2 linked regions of the Oreochromis niloticus genome follow. The protein of the gene in region 1 purifies or fractionates together with the protein of each later gene. This does not show direct contact. Links are inferred from orthologs where the notes say so. Each region holds a gene or a part of one and is shown on either strand. Other genes may lie near its edges. The genes, in order: med20 and cdk19.

Evidence for each region.
Region 2: the proteins of med20 (region 1) and cdk19 purify together in Homo sapiens (affinity purification with mass spectrometry; 5 studies listed by BioGRID and IntAct, counting the BioPlex papers as one, with this or other methods). This does not show direct contact. The link is inferred for Oreochromis niloticus from reciprocal best matches to the Homo sapiens genes MED20 and CDK19.

What each region holds. Positions count from the first base shown.
Region 1 is NC_031970.2:21,834,383-21,844,678, reverse strand, and holds med20 (mediator of RNA polymerase II transcription subunit 20), read right to left. Parts: upstream 5,359-10,296; 5' UTR 5,210-5,358; coding exon 5,196-5,209; intron 4,986-5,195; coding exon 4,840-4,985; intron 4,809-4,839; exon of another isoform or gene 3,836-4,808; intron 3,480-3,835; exon of another isoform or gene 3,447-3,479; coding exon 3,193-3,446; intron 3,095-3,192; coding exon 2,873-3,094; 3' UTR 2,677-2,872; downstream 1-2,676. Other genes in the region: bysl (bystin), read left to right, coding at 5,582-5,846, 7,011-7,161, 8,911-9,049, 9,259-9,392, 9,486-9,646. UniProt on the Homo sapiens protein: Component of the Mediator complex, a coactivator involved in the regulated transcription of nearly all RNA polymerase II-dependent genes.
Region 2 is NC_031980.2:31,092,314-31,103,205, reverse strand, and holds the start of cdk19 (cyclin-dependent kinase 19), read right to left. Parts: upstream 4,350-10,892; 5' UTR 3,325-4,349; intron 3,237-3,324; 5' UTR 2,323-3,236; coding exon 2,195-2,322; intron 1-2,194. Other genes in the region: amd1 (S-adenosylmethionine decarboxylase proenzyme), read left to right, coding at 4,716-4,825, 8,316-8,402, 8,859-8,985, 9,099-9,201, 10,064-10,106, 10,378-10,522, 10,597-10,689, 10,769-10,892.

The sequences.
Region 1 (10,296 bases):
AAACCAAGCATTTAGGAAATTCTCAAAAATCTATCTTTACACACAAAGAAAAAAAAGTGGACTGAAAACAAGTGACCATAAAACTTCTTAACAAAAAGTAACGTAACCAAACAACTCAGGAAGTGACTTTATTGTGGGAATCTCCTCCAGTTGTGACACTGACTGCCCTGGTTGACTGTGAATAAACGTGGCAAATGATTGACATCTAGAGGAATCACACACGGAAAATGAAGTGTTATGTCGCTCTCGTTCTTTAAGAAAATCAACATGTGGTCATTTGATCAGGGGCAATAATTAAAACGGAGCTTTCGGGCAAGGAAATGATGACATGAGCGCCTGTCTGTCCATTGAAATGATATTCTAACGTTAATCGATGTAGTTATGTACCTCACCAGTACCAGCGCTGTGCTACATCACTTTCTTTTTTTAATCCATCTCTTTGTGTAAATGATCCACTACATTAAAATAATAATGAATAAAAATAATAATGGCAGCATCAACTTTCAGGTCAGCGCAACTGTTTTTTTAGTCGCATGCCACGCTTTTTGCAGCACGCTCCAAGTTAACCGCCTCAACTCCTGCATGTGATATTCACAAATGTTAGAATTTCTCCACTGTGTCTGTCCGTGTTTTAAAAAGGATGCCTTCTGGCTCAGACAGGCTGGCTCTTAACGCCATGCTAGGCTATCCCACCATCACCATGCTGAAGCCAGAACAAAGAGCAGCCAGAGAGCGACTCTCCAGGAACATCCAACAACTTTGTTGGTCCGAGACAGCCCAGCAGGCAGCAACTTAGCTGCCGCCGCTAACCGTTTTTATCCACGGCTGCTGTGCGTAGGGTTTGCACCGCTTGCCCCCCCACCTCCTCCCTCCCTTCCCTCTGCTGTGTCTCGCCTAATAACGCGCTGAGTTAAACACGGATTTATTCGCTTGGCTCCAAGCAGCTAACAATTTGCGTTATCTGCTCGCCACAGTTGCTAACGTTAGCTAAGCTGCTAACCTGTTTGTTGAGGACAATCGAAGTTAACCTAACGGCTGCCGTCGGTCGCTAACGTTAACGCTAGCAAACTGCGCCGTTAACCGTTAAAAAAAAAAAAAAACTACCCGGTGACATTCACCGCAGGAAGCCGGCTCCTGAAACGCGGCTCTCGGCCCTATCCGTGCCCCTCACTATATTTGCAACACCTGATAATGGTAAAGCTGGGTAACGTTACCATCGCCAGCATCCATCCATCCGGTGTACACTCAGAGAGCTGCTTGTTGTCCTCCTCACAGATTGAACAACCCAACTCTCGATCCGAGCACAGACCCCGCCGCTCTCATTGGACTGGGGCTGAGCGGGAGACGGGCTCTCATTGGCGGAAGGGCTGAACAACAGGCAGCAGGATGGACCGTCCGTCCGTCCACCCACAGCGGCCACATGGAACAATAACGGAGGCCAGAGTGGAAGCCGGGTTTAAGAGGACAGCCGCTACCCCTGATCCCCGGTGTCCCCGTTAAACCCCGTGCGCGCCATGTGTCAGCTCGGTAGGGTTAATCTGGTAAAATACACCTGAGGCGCGCGCGTGTAGTGTGCGTGTGTGTAGCTTTAAGCGCCCTATGAGACGCATCTCCTTTGGATGCTGTCGTGGGGAGGGACTACTTTCAAAATGCGTCAGCGCAAATCAGTGTAATTCAAGTTTAAACATAAAAAGAAAGCCGCTGCCTGGAAGAAATGTGCAGCATTCAGGGAGAGTTTGAAAGCTGAATAACATATCACAAGTCCTAAAAGAGAAGTCATGTCAGTTTTATCAGCTTTAATTACAGTTGTGGTTACGCTGGATATCCAGGATTTTTTCACATGAGATTAGGAGACGCATGGATAAAAATAACCATATTAACAATAGTAATTATCGTGATTTAGTAGGACACTTGAATTATATATTTTTTTTTAAATACAATTACCAATTACTGGTAATTTAATAGGACATTGTTCTGCATTTTTTACTTTTTTTTCCTGCTCTAACATAAGAGTCCACTCGATGCCAAGCATAAGTGAGATCTTCAGATTATTGTAGATAATGTAGTATGTAGTATCTATAAACAGAATTAAATTCTCAGGTTTTAGAAGCTAGATCCAGTCTTTTGGACATTTTAAACAATCCAACATAAACAATCTAACTTACTGTCACCCTAAGATACCTGCACAGATACTTCTTTGTAATCTAATAAAGCATTTCCACTGTAAAATCATTACACGTGTAAGGACAAGCCTCACTTGTTAGCCTCCACCTAATACTGGAACACTAATCCAACTGCATAAACCTTGGGATTGGACTGACTGTGAAATTCCTGGGCCTGTAGTCAACGTTTAGTTCATTCATTCCTGTCTTTCTGACAGAGAAAAACAAAGAAAACTTGATTGTTTGAAAAGAAAAATCTCTCACCTCCTTGTGACATCATCTTTAAACGTTAAGCCAGCGCAAAACTTAGATGATGCAACAGATAAAAATCGACCTCTCTCACCGATAAACGTCATCAGATCAGTTGACAGTCAACAGGGCCAGCGTTCAGCTGATAAATTGGTTCATCCCTGTGTAAACTAGCAAGAAATCAATGAATACTTCGTGTCTCTACTCTCAGATAAAAGTGCACCATCAAAAGGGCATCGCAGTATGAACGCTCAGAGACTCTGACTACTTGTTTTCACTGTGTCTCTTTATTGCAAATGCTTTCATCCAACGCTAACGTGAAGTTCTGCAATGATAATAAAACCCCAGACGTTCAAAAAAATAAAAAATGCCTGGGTACTAACGCTGATCCATAGGACCAGGAATATACCAACATCTGTACAAACATGGAGAGAAAAAAAACAGATATCTTTGTTGCAAACTCAGCGCACATTGCTTCCAGGGATTTGCAGCTTGCGCAGTTTGTTGAACAACTCCAGGTACTGAGTCATGGTGTCAACACAGTCTGCTGGTGCAAAGAGTCCCTCGGGCTTGGCAGCAAACACAGATGGCAGTTCAGGGACGCTGGGGCCGAGAAAGGACTGCATAAACTCCTTCATGAGGTTCCAGCAGTCCCCAGGAACGACACAAGGGCAGTACTCCACCTGAGGAAGCAAGCCAGGAGTTAGCGCCTCACGGAGAGAAAGCAGAAGGACGTGACTCGTCTTTATCACAGCATATATATATATATACACACACGCACCTCTACTGATATCCCTCTGGCACTGGAGCTCATCGTCACGGTACCAACTTTTATCAAGAAGTCGCAGTAGCGATACCTCGAACCACGAGACTCCACCTTGTGTCCCTTGGCATTCTGGAAGTGACTTTTCAGCTTCACCATGAGGACATCAAAATTTGCATCCGCTATTAGGCAGGGTCCACCTTCAAACAGAGCCAAGCAGCTCAGGGGGGTTTCGGAGTTGTGCATCACATACAGGAGCTTGGAGGGCTGACCTACAACGGACAGACAACACTTAAAACTGTCAGGTGAGATGAGGAAGGAAATGAAAGTTCCACAAAGTTAGAGAGGCAAGGCTGAGATTTGCACCTGAGGTTTTGACGTGTACAGTGAGGGATAGTAGATATATTGGGCAAAGGATGTTAAAGACAGAGGAGCTGCCAGGCAGGAGGAAAAGAGGAAGACCTCAGAAGAGATTTATGCATGTAGTGATGGAGGACATGTAGATGGTTGGTGTGACAGAAGAAGCTGCAAGGGTGAGATAGAGGCAGATGATCTGTGGTGACATCTAAAGGAAACAGCTAAAAGAGGAAGGAAAAAGACTTCTGGCCATATAGATATATAACTATTACTTATACTGATGATAATTGTTATTCTCCCACAGATAAATTCAAAAACTGTGGCGGAAAAGTAGCCAAAGACGCACAGGAGGAATCAGCGGTACTGAAGAGGACAGTAACCGTATGTCGATGGAACTCGTAGTAACATTTCTAAGGAGGTGCACATCAGAAGCATAAATTCCCAATAAAAGTGACTGCCTTACTGTTTTGGCCTAACTACAGCCAATCAAACTGGAAATTGAACCAGTACACCAGTACTTATATAGCTCGTTTTAATGTAGCTGAGTACTCAAAGCACTTCCTACTACAAGTCTCACACTCACATTCATACAGTGTTTTTGTCTATGCCTAAGTGTTTTCTAACACACAAACACACACACCCACAGATGGATGCATCAGGGGCAACTTAGGGTTCGGCATCTTGCCCATGGATACTTCAGGATGCAGACTGGAGGAGATGGGGATCTATGACGCTCTCTACCAGCTGAGCCACAGCTCGCGTGACAAAAAAAGTGACATTTCTGGGGGGGGGTTATATGTTATATGTTATCCTGCCTTTATTGTGCCTATATTATAGTCAATCTAGTCCTTACTATCTATCTAGTGCTTATCTAGTCCTTTATAGAATTTTGATGTTATATTTGTCACAATTTCTCTTGCCCTCTTTGCCAGATCTCTCTAGACTTTTTTTTTTTTATGTCAGTGACACTTTTAGCTGGATAAATAAGGGAAATATGAAAATCACTTTGCAAAAAAACAAGTTCTGCTTTGTGATAGAAATGTTCTTTCTGACTCAAAATGACTCAGTATCGTTCATGAGAGATCTGTTTGAGAGATTATAGGCCAATAAGTCATTTAAAACAGTTCAAATACCGGCAATCTTTTTTTCTTTGCAAACAATCACACGAAAAGGGGATAAAATACTCTGCAGCCCCACCTAGACAGGGACATCAGGTCAACCTGATGGGTGAGTGCAATACGTCTGCATTAATGTGATCTATAAATCTGAATTCTAAAGCTCAGAAACAAACAGATAAAAAAATATTACTGCTGGAATTTCCCGTGGCATGGTAAGTCTCGCAGTCCACGCAGAAGCTGCCTTGCTTCACGGCGCCCAGCTGCTCCAGCTTTTTGTGCAGCATGTCCACAGTCTGCTGCACGCTCTTCCCCTCCGCCACGGGCACCTGGCACACACTGAGGGGCACAGCAAGCAGAGGACTTGAGGGACCAGCATACACTTTGTTCCGTGTAACGTTACCAGCATTGCTGAATGAGACAGAGCCACGCCTCCGCGGATCAATGAGAAAAAAACACGCAGGGTGGTTGAGGCTGGGCCAAATCTGTTTGAATATTTAGTGGTTAAAAAACGTTTAAAATCAAACGTAGGTTTAAAAACCACCTTACCAAGTAACACCCATTGATGTTTTGCCTCTCTTCACTTGTAGTACGGTGTTTGAGCACTTCCGGGTTAAACAAAACGCCTTCCGGTACAGTAAAAGAAAACAACAGAAAAAATAAAAATAAAATAAAATATTATTTATAATAAAGAATGGTGAATATTAACACCATTTCACAATGAAACAGTCAACTGACTTTGCTGTACTTTTTTTCTGAAGTGGTCGCCGAAAGCTGGATGTTACGTGAGTGCGATGCGTCACTTCCTTCTTGCCGGACCTGCGCACGTGTTGAAGCAGTGACTGTTTACAGTGTTTGGTAAAGTCTGTCCTGTAGCTCGCACATGTCCACGGAAACATCCACACTGTGGTCACAGCTGAAGTAAAACCGCAGCGATGCCGAAAGTCAAACGGTCCAAAGGTGGAGGAGAGAAGAGCGGAGCCGCGCCGGTGGCGCTGGCCGACCAGATCCTGCAGGCGGACATTGTCCGAGCTAAAGGCCGGGTTAAGATCAGAGACACCCGGGAAGAAAGCGACGACAAGTACGTGGACGAGCGGTTGTCACGGAAAATCTTACAACAAGCCCGCATTCAACAAGAGGAACTTCAGACCGAATATGGGCTGGCACCAGAGAAGAAGAAAGCACCAGTCACTGTTCTCGGTAATGTTGGATTGGTGTTGTAGTTATCCTTAAATTGGCAGATATTTGAATGGAGTCTGGCGAGTGAAGTGCTAACACCATGGGGAGATCAAAAGTCAGTTGGCTTTGACACACATCGCATTTGTTCAATGTTTTCTGACTAGATTAGGTAGCTGTAATCAACGTAGTTTGATGTTTTCTACTTACGCTTTTGGTCATCAAAAGGAGACAAATCAATTAAAAAGTTTTCTTCTTTTGTTTATATACCTATATTTGTCCTTAACTTTCATAATCAACAACATTCCACAGCACAGATCTTTTCATGAGAAAAAACTAATACTAGCTCTGACTTGCAGCCTTGTTACTATACATATAAAATACACTCTCACAAGCACACTTTAAAACATAAAATATCATTAAATAGCATTTCTCTGGTCCTGGATATTTATTTGTAGCAGGTATGTCATAATCTATAAATAAAAGTAATATATCCATTCAGCCCTTATATCATGTGCAACCCTGTTACACTACTAATTTTTTTTTAGCCCTGATCATATCATTTTTAATAAAATTGTCATAAATGTTTTTATTAGCTCACAAGGGTTTGATCTGTTAATCTGCTGCCTTTGTAACTGCTTTAATTATTACATGAATAGTGTTATTTGAGCACAGATATAAATATGAATACTGAAATTACCAAAAAAAAGTACATATTGAAAATTTGGTAGGTTTTGAAAGTTGCTTAAATGAATAAAAATTGAGTGTTATCTGTTATCAAGTGTGAAAGATGCTCAAGAATTTATTAAACAATATTTTTTAATCTACTTTTTCGGGTTCTGAAGTATTGGCTGCAGAGATGCGTACAGAAACTAAAATATCATAAAAAGTTTATCTTTAATCCCTGATCTGGACATATTTAATATTTATTTTTTTCTTAAACACATATTATATTATAAAATAATAAGATATTTTTAAAGCCTGAATTGTCCTCCTATTGTTAAATGACCCAGGAGTTTTTCACACAAATACATAGTAGTGCAACACATGTTGAATCCATGTTACAGTGTAAAATCTTTCCTTGTGATTGTCTTTATCAAGAAACCTTACTTAACTAAAATATTTATACCTAAAACATTTCAGTGTGATCTTCTAATGAGCCATCTCCGTCTTGTAATCTTATTTTAGGGCCTGACTCTCAGGATGCTGACTCGGATGAAGAATGGCCGGCGCTGGGAGCAGCAGATCCTGCAGATGTTGAGTACGACACAGAAATCGTTGTTGACGCTGAAGATGAGAAGGCCATCGAGATGTTCATGAACAAAAACCCACCAGTGAGGTGAGCTACACCGTCGCTTTAACTTCAGGCGCTGCGAGCTCAGCAAATCCTTGGCTTTGTGTTTGTATTAATGCTGTGCAATAGTGGAAAGTTTGGTATCGGGTAGGGGTGGGCGGTATAAACGGTATACGGTAGAAACGATATGAATTTGGCCAACGGTAGAGATTTTGACTATACCGCTCTGCAGCGATAGCGCATGTTGATGGTTTCATCAAGCTGCGCCTGTTTTGGTCGAAAGCATCGCAGCGGCTGCAAGCAATGTCATCTGCAAATTGGGCGACAGTAATAGCGAAGAAATGAAGCACGTTTTGGAATATGAGGAAAGGCAAAAACTGCCCTTCCTCCACTTCCGTACCATTGATTCATTAATGTTGAATTCTCTCGCAGTTGCTCTATACCCATGTTGTTGCAGTATACTAATAACTAACCTCGTATTGTGGATGGATTATCTCAGTTGTTGTCCTGACTGAAGTTTGGTCCATTTACAGCATCCTGCCATGCATTTGTCCCTAACCGTCAGACCCTCACGTTAACTTTTATCGAGTGGAAAAAAGTTGGCGTTCATCCTCCAGCTTCACTGTTTATGTTATGCTAACATAGCTGTGTTGCTAGCGATCATGTAGCACATCATTATGCTTCAGTAACCCTACAAAAGTCACTGCTGTTTAGTTTTCTGTCTTCGCTTATGTTGGAAGTGATAGCAGAGCTGTACGTTTGAATTTTTTCAGAAACCTCTCTGTCAGAACATGCTATATCATGTTTAGGTGGAAACTAGCGAGCTTCCTTCCTTCCTAACTCCTAACTCTGCTCGGTTTTCATGGATGCCTGGATGTTAAACTTAATTGTTACACCTGGTAAAGAAGCAACGCTGATCATTTTATTAAAGATGAAAGAATTTAGACAGTTTTTAATGCTCAGTGATGTCGCAGCGTTCATTTGGCTTTGGGACCTGAAGCAGACGGAGTTTTGGACCCAGATTACTCCGCCAGGCTCCTGACTGCGGCAGCTGTAATGCTCCGAAAATCCATCAAGCGGTGCGGCTTCGTAGCTTACCAAAATCGTACTAAAACATTTTTGACAGATTTTTGAGCGCCGTGTTCCACATAAAATAGGTTTGAGGTCAGTAAGCACAACCAGAATTCATACATAAGACACACCGGATTATAAGGCGCACTGTCGATTTTTGAGAAAATTAAAGGATTTTAAGTTCGCCTTTATAGTGCGAAAATACGGAAGAAAAGAATATATCGCGATATATATTGTTATATATGGATTTTAGGCCATATCGCCCTAGTATCGAGCCAATACCAGCACTTTTAACCTATAAAGGAGTCGCCATCAATTTGCAAATTCTAAATATATTTTAATGACCGTTAAATCACTGGTTTCTTCTTTCCATAATAATTAGTTAAAACACCAAAGCACATCTTTTTAACTTTTCATTTAATTTGAAACTTGTTTATTATTTTTTTGTTTTTTAGAGCTGTAATGTTAATGTGGGTTTTTGGATCCAGTTCTCTTGTTGCAATCAACACAACAAGGTTCATAGTGCATGTTTGAAGCATAGTTTTTCATTTCCAAAACATAACTTATCCAACATAATTCAGTCGGCTACATAATGAACATGGAGGATAGAAACAAATTATCGATCATATTGTGCTGGTATTGATCTGATACCAATACCAGCACTGGTATCGATATTTGGATTGGTCGGCAAACCACTAGCTCGTTTCTTTGTGGCTCTTGCAGACGGACGTTAGCTGACATCATTATGGAGAAGATCACAGAGAAGCAGACAGAGGTGGGCACGGTGATGTCAGAGGTTTCTGGGTGTCCGATGCCACAGCTGGACCCAAGAATAACAGAAGTGTACAGAGGTGTCGGTAAGGTAAGTTTACTTCAAGCCCACCACACGTGAACTAATTGGGAGACGAACTAAAGGAAAATGGACACAGTAAGTGGAGAAGCCCACTGGCCTGGTTAGTCATGCATATCATATCGAGCAGAGGGGGAGTTTGTAGACACTGCTTGTATAGCAGGTGTGTTTTTGTTAATGGAGACGTGTTTAAAGTTGTCCTTTCTCTTCTTCTGCCTCAGGTTCTGTTGAAATACCGCAGCGGCAAACTGCCAAAGGCTTTTAAAATAATACCGGCGCTTTCAAACTGGGAGCAGGTTTTGTATTTGACTGACCCCGACTCCTGGTCCGCAGCTGCTATGTACCAGGCGACGAGGTAAACTTTGAGCTGATGCGCTTTGTGATGATCAATTTTCCGCAAGTTCTCTTAAGTGATATAATGAAGTATTTTTCCTTGTTCTTTTTAAAGGATATTCTCGTCCAATCTGAAAGAGCGAATGGCCCAGAGGTTTTACAACTTAGTGCTGCTACCTCGAGTACGGGATGATATTGCAGAATACAAGCGACTCAACTTTCACCTCTACAGCGCCCTGAAGAAGGCCCTGTTCAAACCGGGAGCATGGTTTAAAGGTGAGACTGAGGATTATAATAAATACTTAAGATTGAGAACAGACTGACAGAACTGAGTAAAAGTGTGTGTGTGGAAGTGATTACTGAAATATAGTAATCATAGTAATATAGAGTCATGTCTTTTCAAACTAAAGGATTTAAATACATTTATTTCCAGGTTCACAATGAATAAGATGTAAATGTAATGTTACTGTACATTCTAGGTGTTATATTTAAATGTAACAAACAAGCAGAACTAATTGGACCATTTCTAATGTCTTATAAATAAAGTGGACCATCCCAACCTTTCATACAAGATAATATTTTGAGCAAAAAGAACTGTGATGGGCAGGGAAAAAAAGAGGCTTCAAGGTAAAGGGGGAATCATGCATATAACACAAAATCTTAGATTGTACAAAGATCCTTTGACTAGCAGAAAAGAGATGTGATTCGTCTCCATACAAAAATCCCAAGTTTTACTTTCAGATTTACTTTGAGGCGTTCCTCATGGATCTTAAATGTGAGTATAGTGTCAAAGCAAAAGTGTTTCTAACAGCAATTTCAGTTTCATGAGCAGGAATGATTTGAATATGGAGCGTTAACTGCATACTCTTAGGTGATCTAATGAACAGTATGCACTTAGAAACAGACTGTAGCTTTGCAATGGCCAG
Region 2 (10,892 bases), on another chromosome or scaffold:
TGACTCAACTTTTACAATTCAGCATGTTAATGACAAATTGCAATGAGTTTATAGTTTGGAAAGCACTAATGCCCCCTTAGTTTTTCATGAACTCGGCCCACTAACTAATGCAAAAGCAGTGGTTAATTGTCTACTTTATGTTACTCCATACATACTATTGGCCAAACTAGAGTCAAGTAGCTTAACATTGCTTTTAGACTCACTTTGTTTAAATCCAACATATCTACACTGCTGATAAAGTTACAATATTGCAATATTAACAAACACAGTGAGGAAGAAACAGTCCGACTGATCTACAAACCTGAACTGTTTCAGATTTTAAAGACACTGTGTGATTGTAAAAGTTTTTAATACATTAATTCTCAAAGTAAATGAAGATGAAAAGGCCTTCTTTAACAGCTTGGGTCAATTTTAATTTGATTCTATTACAAAGATTTTAAAATGTTAATAATAATTTTATTATTTGAGTTGTCTATAGAGGTTGTGGCCACATTAGCATTATCATAGCAATACAGACAAAACTTTGAAAGAAATAAAGCTAATAAAGCTTTAACTTTATTTCATGTTTTTTAATCTCTTTGGAAAAATACAAAACATATTCAAAATACAAGTGCATGGAGGTGCAGACATTTTATAACCATAGCTATACAAACATGAACAAAAAACAACTGTTACACGTGTATTCTTAACCAGTTATGAATATTGACTTGATAATGGTTATTATCAATGTGGAAAAGCTAGATGTTCCCTGTGACATTCCTTTTAGGTTGGATCTAATTGGAGTGATACTGTTCCTACTGGTAATAAAACAGTGCTTTGCTTTGCTATAACAACACTGACAATTCAATTCCATTCCATTTTATGTATATAGCGCCAAATCACAACATCAGTCACCCCAAGATGTTTTATATTGTAAGATTAAAGACCCCACAGTAATATAGAAAAAACACCCAACAATCAAATGACCCCCTTTGAGCAAAAAGTGGGAAGAAAAAACTCCCTTTTAACAGGAAGAAACCAGAACCAGGCTCAGGGAGAGACAGCCATCTGCCATGACTGGAAAAAACAATATTTATTTACATATTTACTTTTTTCTTCTTACACCGGATTGTATATTTGTACATTTTTATACATTTTTTTTCTGTTAATACTGTTCATATGTATATAGTGCTGCAGAACTGTGCCCCCCCCCATCACACACACACACACACATGTTTGGACTGAGTTACAGATGCTCTTTATCTCACTGTACAACTGTATAGTGACAATAAAGGCATTATTCTACTCTATTCTATTCTAAAACGAGTATTACATGGGAAGAAGTCAAATTGGGCCATCTGTATAATAAGTTCATCTAATGCTTAAAATTAGTTTTTCCATCTCAGATTTCGAGAAAACTTTATGACAAAGCATTTGTAAGACGGGGGCAGCAAAATCAGCTCTTAATGCACTGTGCCCTTGGTTAACGGTGCTTTTCTTGAATGTAATTTTTAGATCAGAGTGATTAACCACTTGGCTATCGTACAAATGAAACTTGTAGTATTCAAATAGGATGCGCACTGGCCGGATTTTGCCAGTTTTTTGGACTGGGATTTTGCCAGTTTGCATAAGGAACAGTGACACCGTTGGCACAGCAGAGCAGAAATGTGAGAACGTATCTGTCCTGCTTTCTGTTGCTGATATATACATCGTGGTCACACGCTGTCATATGCTTGTCAGTGAGTGTAAGCAGCAAATGACAGAAAGAAAACAATGTGTGTCAGAAAGAGGGAGAAAAAAAGTTTGGCATTCCACAATGCTGAAAGCGGGGCCAAGAAAAGACGCTGAGGTGTCACTATCGCGCGAAGTGACGATACCCGTGCATCAAAAAGCAAGCTACCTTTGCTGCGACCGCCAACAAGACACTTGTAAGAAAATAAACAGCACCGCGGCTTTACACTGTTGTTTGGGGGTGTTGGGGAGGAGGAGGAGGAAAGGGGGGAGCTGTGAGGTTGGGGACGGAGGAGGAGGTGGGGGGGACCGTTGGTGAGTGAGTGCGTTACATGAAAACAAAAACACAGAGACACGGGCTATCGCTTCGGGGAGCTTCAAATCGAACGCCCTGTTCATCACATAACCGAGGCGTGTGTTCACAAAATGCATCCCGCGGTCAGTTTTATGTCAGCATACACAATAACGTTCACGGTTATCTTACCCGTCTTTGCGCTTAGCTTTATAAACGTGCCCGTAGGTGCCTCGACCCACTTTGCAACCTTCATATTCGAACAGATCTTCTACTCTCTCTCTCTCGGCCGCCAGCTTTGTTTTGAAGTCGTAATCCATTTTAACCCATAAATACGCCTTAATTTACAATAAAATAAAATATTAATTATAACATGCATTAATTAAATAATCTGGTCGTTTTATTCCCCCACCATTTCCTTGTTTGGGATTTTGGTCTGCTCCGCTTAATGTTCACTGGCTCGTTGACGTTTCTAATTGGCGCGCGTGGCTCGCTGGGTATGGTAGTTCTTGTGAGCAGGCGCCGCAGTTCGCCGCGTTGTCAGGCAAGCTATGGCAAACTACAACCCGCGTTTCTCGCTGCTGTTTGTTGCACTTTGCGTACTCATGAAAGCTCTTCAAAAATGCGGCCGTCGGTGGTTTGAGGTTACCTTTTTTTAACGTCACGTAAAATGTAAATGAGCTAAACGGATCCTCGTTGGCTGGATTATTATTATTATTTAATGGTCGTAATAATAATGGTATTGCAAAAGCCGAACAAATGTGTATTTATGCAGTGTATTTATTTAATATAGTTAGAGTGACCACTTCCCACCAAACTAAATGTGATCCGAAGGGTATGGGATCTATTACAAATTGTTTAAAGATATCAAGTGCTATGTGTAACCTAAGAATATTTGCAAACATCCTGGGTGTTTTGGGGGTTGTTTTTTCGGGGGATAATATGAGTTTTCCAACTTCTTAACTGTTATTTTAGCTGCTGTTTTTTCTGATAAGCATCTAAGGGTTTAAGAGGTCGCTGCATCTCTTTTTAAGACACAATTTTTGTCACAATCTGGTTGTAGAACTCAGGGGCAGAGCGGTTTGACGTCTCCAAAAACAGTTTATTTACAGCACCAGTGCACAATATATACAGTGAAGGGAATCCAAAACTCCAGGGAATCACAGGGTAGCTCTCTCACGTCTTCTTGCCCACACTCACACGGCAGGGAGGTCACAGGTCCGAGGAGGAAGGTCTGAAGCAGAAGAGAAGGGAAGTCACAAACTAATCACGAATCTCAAATTATTAAGCACAGGTTCACAGGAGCTGTGAGAAACACTAACGTCTGTAGTACAATCATCCAGCGACGAGAGAATCTGTGTTCCAGCCTCAAATAGTGCTCCCGGTGATGACAGGTGATTGTTGTCAGGTGTGTGGGCCAAGGGCGGGAGCCCACAGTGAGCTCCGCCCAGTCAGAGAGGGAGAGAGAGAGAGAGAGAGAGAGAACTTGTAGCCTTGTGGGGCCGGTCGGGCAGGCACGGAGACCATGACAGTTTTCTTTTGAGATTCAGATTGATTTTTTACTTTTGTGAACTACAGTCAGCCAAAAAGAAGAAAAAGAAGAAAATTGTTTAGTGCAGTTACAGCGGTAAAGATATGAAATGTCTTCCATAAATACAGGTTATGAAAAAACAAAACATCATGATGGAAGACCCTTGCCTTCTATAATAATCGATAGGTTTTTGACATGCACACACACCTGTATATGCAGATGTAGTGATGTCATGTCATATGTATGTGATTCATACTTAATTACTGTAATTATATTGGGTGACAATTGTATGTGTGAGTTCCCACTGCCCTGAATACTATGAGATGAGACAAGTAAGTCCTGTAACACATACAGTAGATATTTATTATCCTTTGGGATTTCTTTCACCTATTTTCCTTCTATGAGTACACTCTTTTGCTAAAATGAATACCTGCGCAGTCCAGTTTAGTTCAATCCAATTTAACAACTTGGTCATATTCTCATTTAAGTGGTTTATATTTGATATTCGCAGTTTAACATTAGTATTATAGTACCATTAAGTGAAAAAACAAATTACACATCTTAAAAAAGAGAGAGCGTACAAACGAAACATTAATGTGATAAGTAAACACAATGGCATGTGTTAGAAAAAAACGCAGTTACGTAATCGTCGTGAACAGAAGAAAACTTGTCAGAAAAGGACTTTTACACGAACATGCCGTCAACTGTCATACTCGCCTTCGTAAACTTAAATTCAGATATCATGTAATGTTATTGACGTTGCTGTTTATATATATAATTAGTATTTATTTCCAGAGGAAAGCTACATGCAGGCGGAAAAGTTTCATGGCGGAAGACCCGCCTTCTATTATAATTGATAGGTTTCTGACCAATCACAAATCCCAAGATATGGCTTTGCGTTCAGATTGGCTCGAGGTGAGGCTTACGTAGGGCTACTGCCAAATAAAAGCACCGCGCGGTCTCCATTCAGCGCTTACACAGTATGGCCGGCGATATTAGCTAGCGCTCGCTAACGGTATTCTCTGCTAAAGGGAAGACGGTAACTCAAGCAAATCAACTCCTGGATTGTTTAAAGGACTGAACCTCACTAAATAATAACAGGTCGAGGAAGGAGTAATTAAGCTGTAAACGTTTTAAACGACGTTGTAATATTTTTGGTTGTTGGGTGTCTGTTGTCTCACGATGGAAGATAACGGTGCACATTTCTTCGAGGGGACCGAGAAGCTGTTGGAGGTGTGGTTCTCTCGGCAGGATGAGACCAAAGGAAACGGAGACCTCCGTACCATCCCAAGGTTCGTGTCACTTGAGTATCTCCGAGGCAGTGTCAGTCCACAGCAGCGTATTGGTACATTGACAGAAACACCGGCTACATGCACGGCTTCAGTTGTCACTTTTTGTGATGTATAACAACTTGAATATCGTACACGTCCCGTTTCCGTTGACACTGTATTCATTATAGTTATTAATCCACCCCTGGATAGACTGCAAGCATTGAAGTGAACCAAATCTAACCGTGGCTCCTTAAGCTAGGGAGCTAGCTAACGTCGCCATTGGAAAATGGCCACCTCCCCCTTTTAACAGTGGCTGAGTCATTCATTCTTCACCCTGGGAGCTTGCGGTAATTAATATATTCGGCTCCCATCGCTTGTTTTTGCAAGTTGATTTGTCGCATGAGGCTTGGACGCCACCATGGCAACCAGTTTAGAGCTACCGCAAGCTAGTCCCTAGGAAAAAATATTCAAATTGTCAGCCGTCTCCTGATTTCGCCGACGCTGTGCAGACTGCTTGTGATTTAGTGAAGAGGCGATCATATTGTCGTTATTTGCCAATTCGCGTTCACTGCTACATATATATATTCGTGCTCTTATGCACTAAATTGCTTGGTCTTTGTAATTACATATGCTTTATTTTTTCCTGCGTCACTCTACAACGAGGGGGGCATGTGAGACATGTGGTCGTCCGTTGTCACCGCGTGTTGCCTTGTTGGCACGGAAATAGATTCAAGTATTCCAATTCCACCTTTAATTTAAAAAAAAAAATAAATTCTTTACTTTTGAAGGCTCATAAGTGATTGGGGAAAACCGTGAACCCGTCCCTCTGCCCTTGTGGATACTACAGGCTGGCCCCATGTCTGTTACCGCTGTGCGTTTAACCAGAGAGAAACTGCGTATGGTCGTGTTCCGGTCACGTTTTCGGCCATGCGGTGCGCTCGCTCCCAGTTGCTCTGATTGGTTAGAGGGTTCCCTGTTACGTTGTGCCGCGGGGCACTTGGTTACGTTTAAGGACAGGGGGTGGCGATAGATTCTGAAAAATCCATGTGGATTCAGTTCTTGTGAGAAATTCGGTTTTTGCTTGCTAGGAAAATTAGCTGATTTGAAATGCACGTTTTAAACAACCTTTAACGAGGAGAAACCCTTACAGGCAGACTTGTACCGTGTGTCGTAATCAATTTTTTGTTTCCAAGACTTTAGAGGAACTTGTCCCAGTAAAACTAATAGATTGTTTAAAATCGCCTGGGTTATGTCACCTATAGAGGTAAGAATGGTACTGATTCTTTAATGTAAGTGAAAGTGTCAATGGTGTCTGTTGCCTTTGCTTAGTGTGGTGTTTTTTTTGTTTTTTGTTTTTTTTTCCCCCTCTGGCAGCATGTCATTTCATGACTGGTTCAAGGGGGCCAAATCATCCCCAGCGATGGGTGACTTTTTCTGGTCGTTAACCACATCAGGGGCTGGTTTATGACAAGTGTGTAACCATTGGCGTGAAGGAGAGCTGGCATTAATTTACAGCCAGAGGGCAGATTAACGGCTCAAAGGGACACTGTCAGTGGATCAGACTCGATGGACGTTAGCCAATGTCCAAATAAGACCACAAGGGCATCGGATTCACAAATGTGAAGCTCGCTCGCTCACGTTACCTCTGCTGCCCCTTGTCAGGGTTCAGACTGCATATGAAACACTTCCAGTGATTGTAGGAGTGACTAGTTCATAAAGTCACAGCATATTCACCTCTAAACACCTGAAATGCAGTGTTCCCGGTGTTCAAGCCATCCAGTAAGTGACCACTTTTCTGTCTGATAAGCAGCAATTGTTCCAACATGTGCCGTCTTGATCAGCCATGTGTTCATAATCTCTGGGATACATGAAAATTCTGATCGTGTTTGGCACTTTGCTTTCTTTGAGGAAAATATTGTCTTGTTGCACAGCTAGAAATAACCTCTGGTGTCGATTTCACACCGAGGCAGGAGCTGACACAGCTTGCCAATGCTTGGCCTCTGGTATGAAGCTGGGAAGTAGGCATGTCGTAACAGCTCTGTCATGTTGCGGGAAGTGATCGAGCTGAACTGTATCCAGACATACCTGTAATGCCTTTGTTCATCTTCCAAATACACTGTTGACATTGCAAATGATATAAATATGATTAAGTAGAGTTTAGATGGCACTATATGCTCCCATTCTCATCAGGCTTGGCCTTGATGGCAAACTAAAGATGTTGAGTCTTTGCATTGAGGACAATGCCAAAGAGAAGCTTGTGTATAACAAAGCCATCTTAAAGGCACATCGCCTGCAGTTCCATATTTAGAGTAGCTTATAGCATGATTTAGAGTTCATATCATCTTGCTCCAATGTTGGTCCTCAGTGCAGGACCTTTGTCTTCTGAGACGTGCAGTTTGGAAATCCTTCACATCCTTTTATACAATTTTCTTATGCACAAACTAAAAACCAGATTTTTATATTGGTGGTGTTTTGGGCTCACACAGTATACAGAGCTGGAAGTTGAAAACTGATTACTTGTTCATGTGTTGACCTTATTTGAAACTTGATATTGGAGCACATTTGACTCAGTGATACCATACTGCCCCCCCCCCGGGAGGGGGGAGGAAGTGATGTACACAACAGATGACGTAAGCCTGTCACTCTCTGAGGACAATGTTGTTAAGGGATTAGATGAAGTGTTTGTGGCACTGGAAGGTAGTAAACATATTTGTAGTTTAGTTTCTTGGACCATTAGGCTCAAATGCAAAAGGCTGCAGTGTAAATTGTACTATTCTTGAATTTGGTGTCTTCAGAACCATGTCTGAGGGATGCATTGTTATTTGGTTATTTGTTTTTTTGTTTTTCCTCAGTCATCTAGTTCATTTGTAGATTGACAAGGTAGAAAGGAACATAATTGGGTCTTGCATTTTGCCCACAGCCTTCATGCATACTGCTGCAGTCTGGTTACTCAGGGGCATTTGTTTTTGAGAGGTTCTCTAGAAAAGCCAGTTTCATAAAGCATTCATTATTGAGCTGCTGGTATGCTTTCATCGAACACTTTACCTCTTGGAAGCTTTGCCTTGCAGCCCAGGCCCCCACTGTGAGTGGGTCTGGCTGTTCTTCCAAGGTTGTAATGTGACCCAGCTGTCTGGGTGGTGTTCGGGGGGCAGAGGCAGCTGCTAGAAGGTGTATGTCTGCTGTAGGAGCAGAATAAGTCCACATTTCCCTACAGCCATCTGCACATGACTGAAAACACATTTCAGTCTGAACAATACCTCCATTGATATGTCAGTATTGTATGCCCACAGCATACTCTAGCACTGAAATTGTTATATGCACTTACTTTTTCAGCGTAAAGACTACAGCAAGCTTCATAGACATTTCTCTTCAAAATCCTGAAAGCATTCCAAACTTGTCCATGTTACATAACCATCAACAGTTCTTTCGTGTAGTGGGTGCCACTTTAAAATGACCACAAAAGTGAACAACTTTGTCTTTGTATGCATTTAACTTGTTCTTTTTCTTTCAGGTTTGAGTGGGACAAACTTTTGGAAAATGTGCATTGTTTGATAATAAGTGTGACAAAGACCGACAAGCAGGAAGCTTATATACTCAGGTGAGTGCCTGCTCATACATGCAGAAAGTCTTCCCAAATAGACCTTAACCTAATTTCCATTAATGGCAGTCTCAGGTGCCAATATGGGCATGTACTCTACATGCCACATGCAGTCCTTAGATAAGTGTGTAGTTGTGTTAAGGTAGGGCAAGTATGGGCATGTCAGATAAAACTAACACGAAGCCTAAACTGAAACCAGTAAGCTACACTCATCTTGGGTAATCAAACAAGTATGACAAGTTGAATGGGAACTAGGGTGTGGCTTTTTTCCCTTCCTCCTTTTGCTCACCTGTCCTTTTTGTTTATAAAAAAGAGGGGGGGAAAGCCTTCACATGACCTTTTGTAGATATTACAAAGATACCAGGCTTACTTAATCATCATTCTGTATCATAGAATGTAATGAGGGAAACAATGCTCTGTGGTTATTGGTGACTAACTCCTTTCTTGTCTCTACAGTGAGAGTAGCATGTTTGTCTCCAAGAGACGTTTCATTTTGAAGACATGCGGAACCACCCTCTTGTTGCAAGCACTGGTGCCTCTGCTGGAACTCGCCAGGGAGTACTGTGGCTTCGACACCATTGAGGTTAGACTGGTTTAGCATTTGCATGACAAAGCTTATTTCATCTCAACCTGAACGAGCTGTATCAATGAAGCTGATTAGTTGCGCAGGTTTATTCATTAGTGTCTCGTTTGCAGAATTTCTTCTACTCCCGTAAGAACTTCATGAAACCAGCCCATCAAGAGTTCCCTCATCGAAACTTCCAGGAAGAAGTGGACTTCCTCAGCCAGATTTTTCCCAGTACGTGATACATGAAACTCTGAAATGTGTTACACACAAGTAAAGGGTGTTTGCAGCACAGTCTGTTAAATCCCCGATGGTCTGAATTTATAGCTGGAAAATGCCCAGGACAGTTCCTGGGTTATGGCTGCTCCTGGCAAACAATCTGCTAGTTGTTTAAACAAAAAGCTGGACTAGTTGACTAATATAAAAGACAGAACTCCTCAACCCCTACCCCCCACAAAAAATTGAAACCAAACACACTTTAAATGATGAAAGTGAAACTTTGACCAACAAACATTTCATGTGTTAGCTGTATTAAGCAATTAGCACATTCCTCATTGATCAAACATAACCTTAGCGGTGCTAGTAGCAGTAGGATTCTCCCACTCTAAGATTGACAACTTAGTTCTATAGTTTATTCTGACAACACCAACATGCAGCTTTTTAGCACAAAAGAACTACAGAGCAGCACTGCTTAACATAGCTGTCATCCATTTACCCTCATGAATAAAGTAACAACAGTTTGGCACTGACTAGCAGGGGCAGCGAACCTTTAAATATCCAATCATGAGACAGACCCTGATTCTGATTGATTACCTGGTGTATAAAAAAAACCCTAAGATTTGCATTAACCAATCATTTAAGAACATATGTTGAATGTTGCTTGTAATACTGACACAGTGGAGTGCATTGTTTATACTGTAGCTGTTCGGACAATGAAATTCAGTGTTATAACAGAATGTTGTAATTCTATGTAGCTTAATTTTATTGTTGTGGTGAATCCTGAAGAATTACTGTCACCATCTGGCTCCTCTTCAGAGCTGCCTAATGTTTTTGAATTGATTTCAAACGGTAACCATAATATTCCCTCCTTTTACAGATGGTGCAGCCTACTGTATGGGACGTTTGAACTCTGACTGCTGGTGAGCATTAAAATATGCCACACTGGCTTAATATGCTAATAGCTAAGATGGTCAAGATTTTCAGTCATGAAATTATAATCAAATACTTGTTTCTGGAGCAGCACTTGTCAGTGAATGTTGGTGTCTGTGACAACAAGATGCCAATTCGTGGGGGAGGTGAAAAGCCTTTAGCTTAAATTGAAAGGATGTTCAAGGCCTCCTCTCATAGGTAGCAGCTCCATGCATCCTCCTGGTTTGAAACTCCTTAAGCCCCCCTGCATGTCCCCCACAGGTACCTGTTTACTCTGGATATGCCAGAGTACTGGGAGAACAAGTATGCTGATCAGACGCTGGAAGTTCTGATGAGCGACCTTGATCCAGCCATCATGGACCAGTTCTACATGAAAGACGGTGTTTCCGCAAGTGAGGTCACTCGTGTAAGTTTCCCCCCAGAACAAGCATATGGTGGTAGTTGAACATGTGTAATCACGGTCTCCTTCTGTTCTCGCAGATGAGTGGAATTCGTGACCTGATACCAGGTTCTGTGATTGATGCCACAATGTTCAACCCTTGTGGATACTCAATGAACGGGATGAAGACTGACGTGAGTGGCGTTTTGTTTCTTCATCATAGTTGCACGCTCAAGCAAATCAGTAATCCGACTTTGCTCGTTTTCCCCACAGGGAACCTACTGGACCATCCACATCACCCCAGAGCCAGAGTTCTCCTACGTCAGCTTTGAAACAAACCTCTCCCAGACATCATATGATGAACTGATCAGGAAGGTTGTGGAGGTGTTCAAGCCAG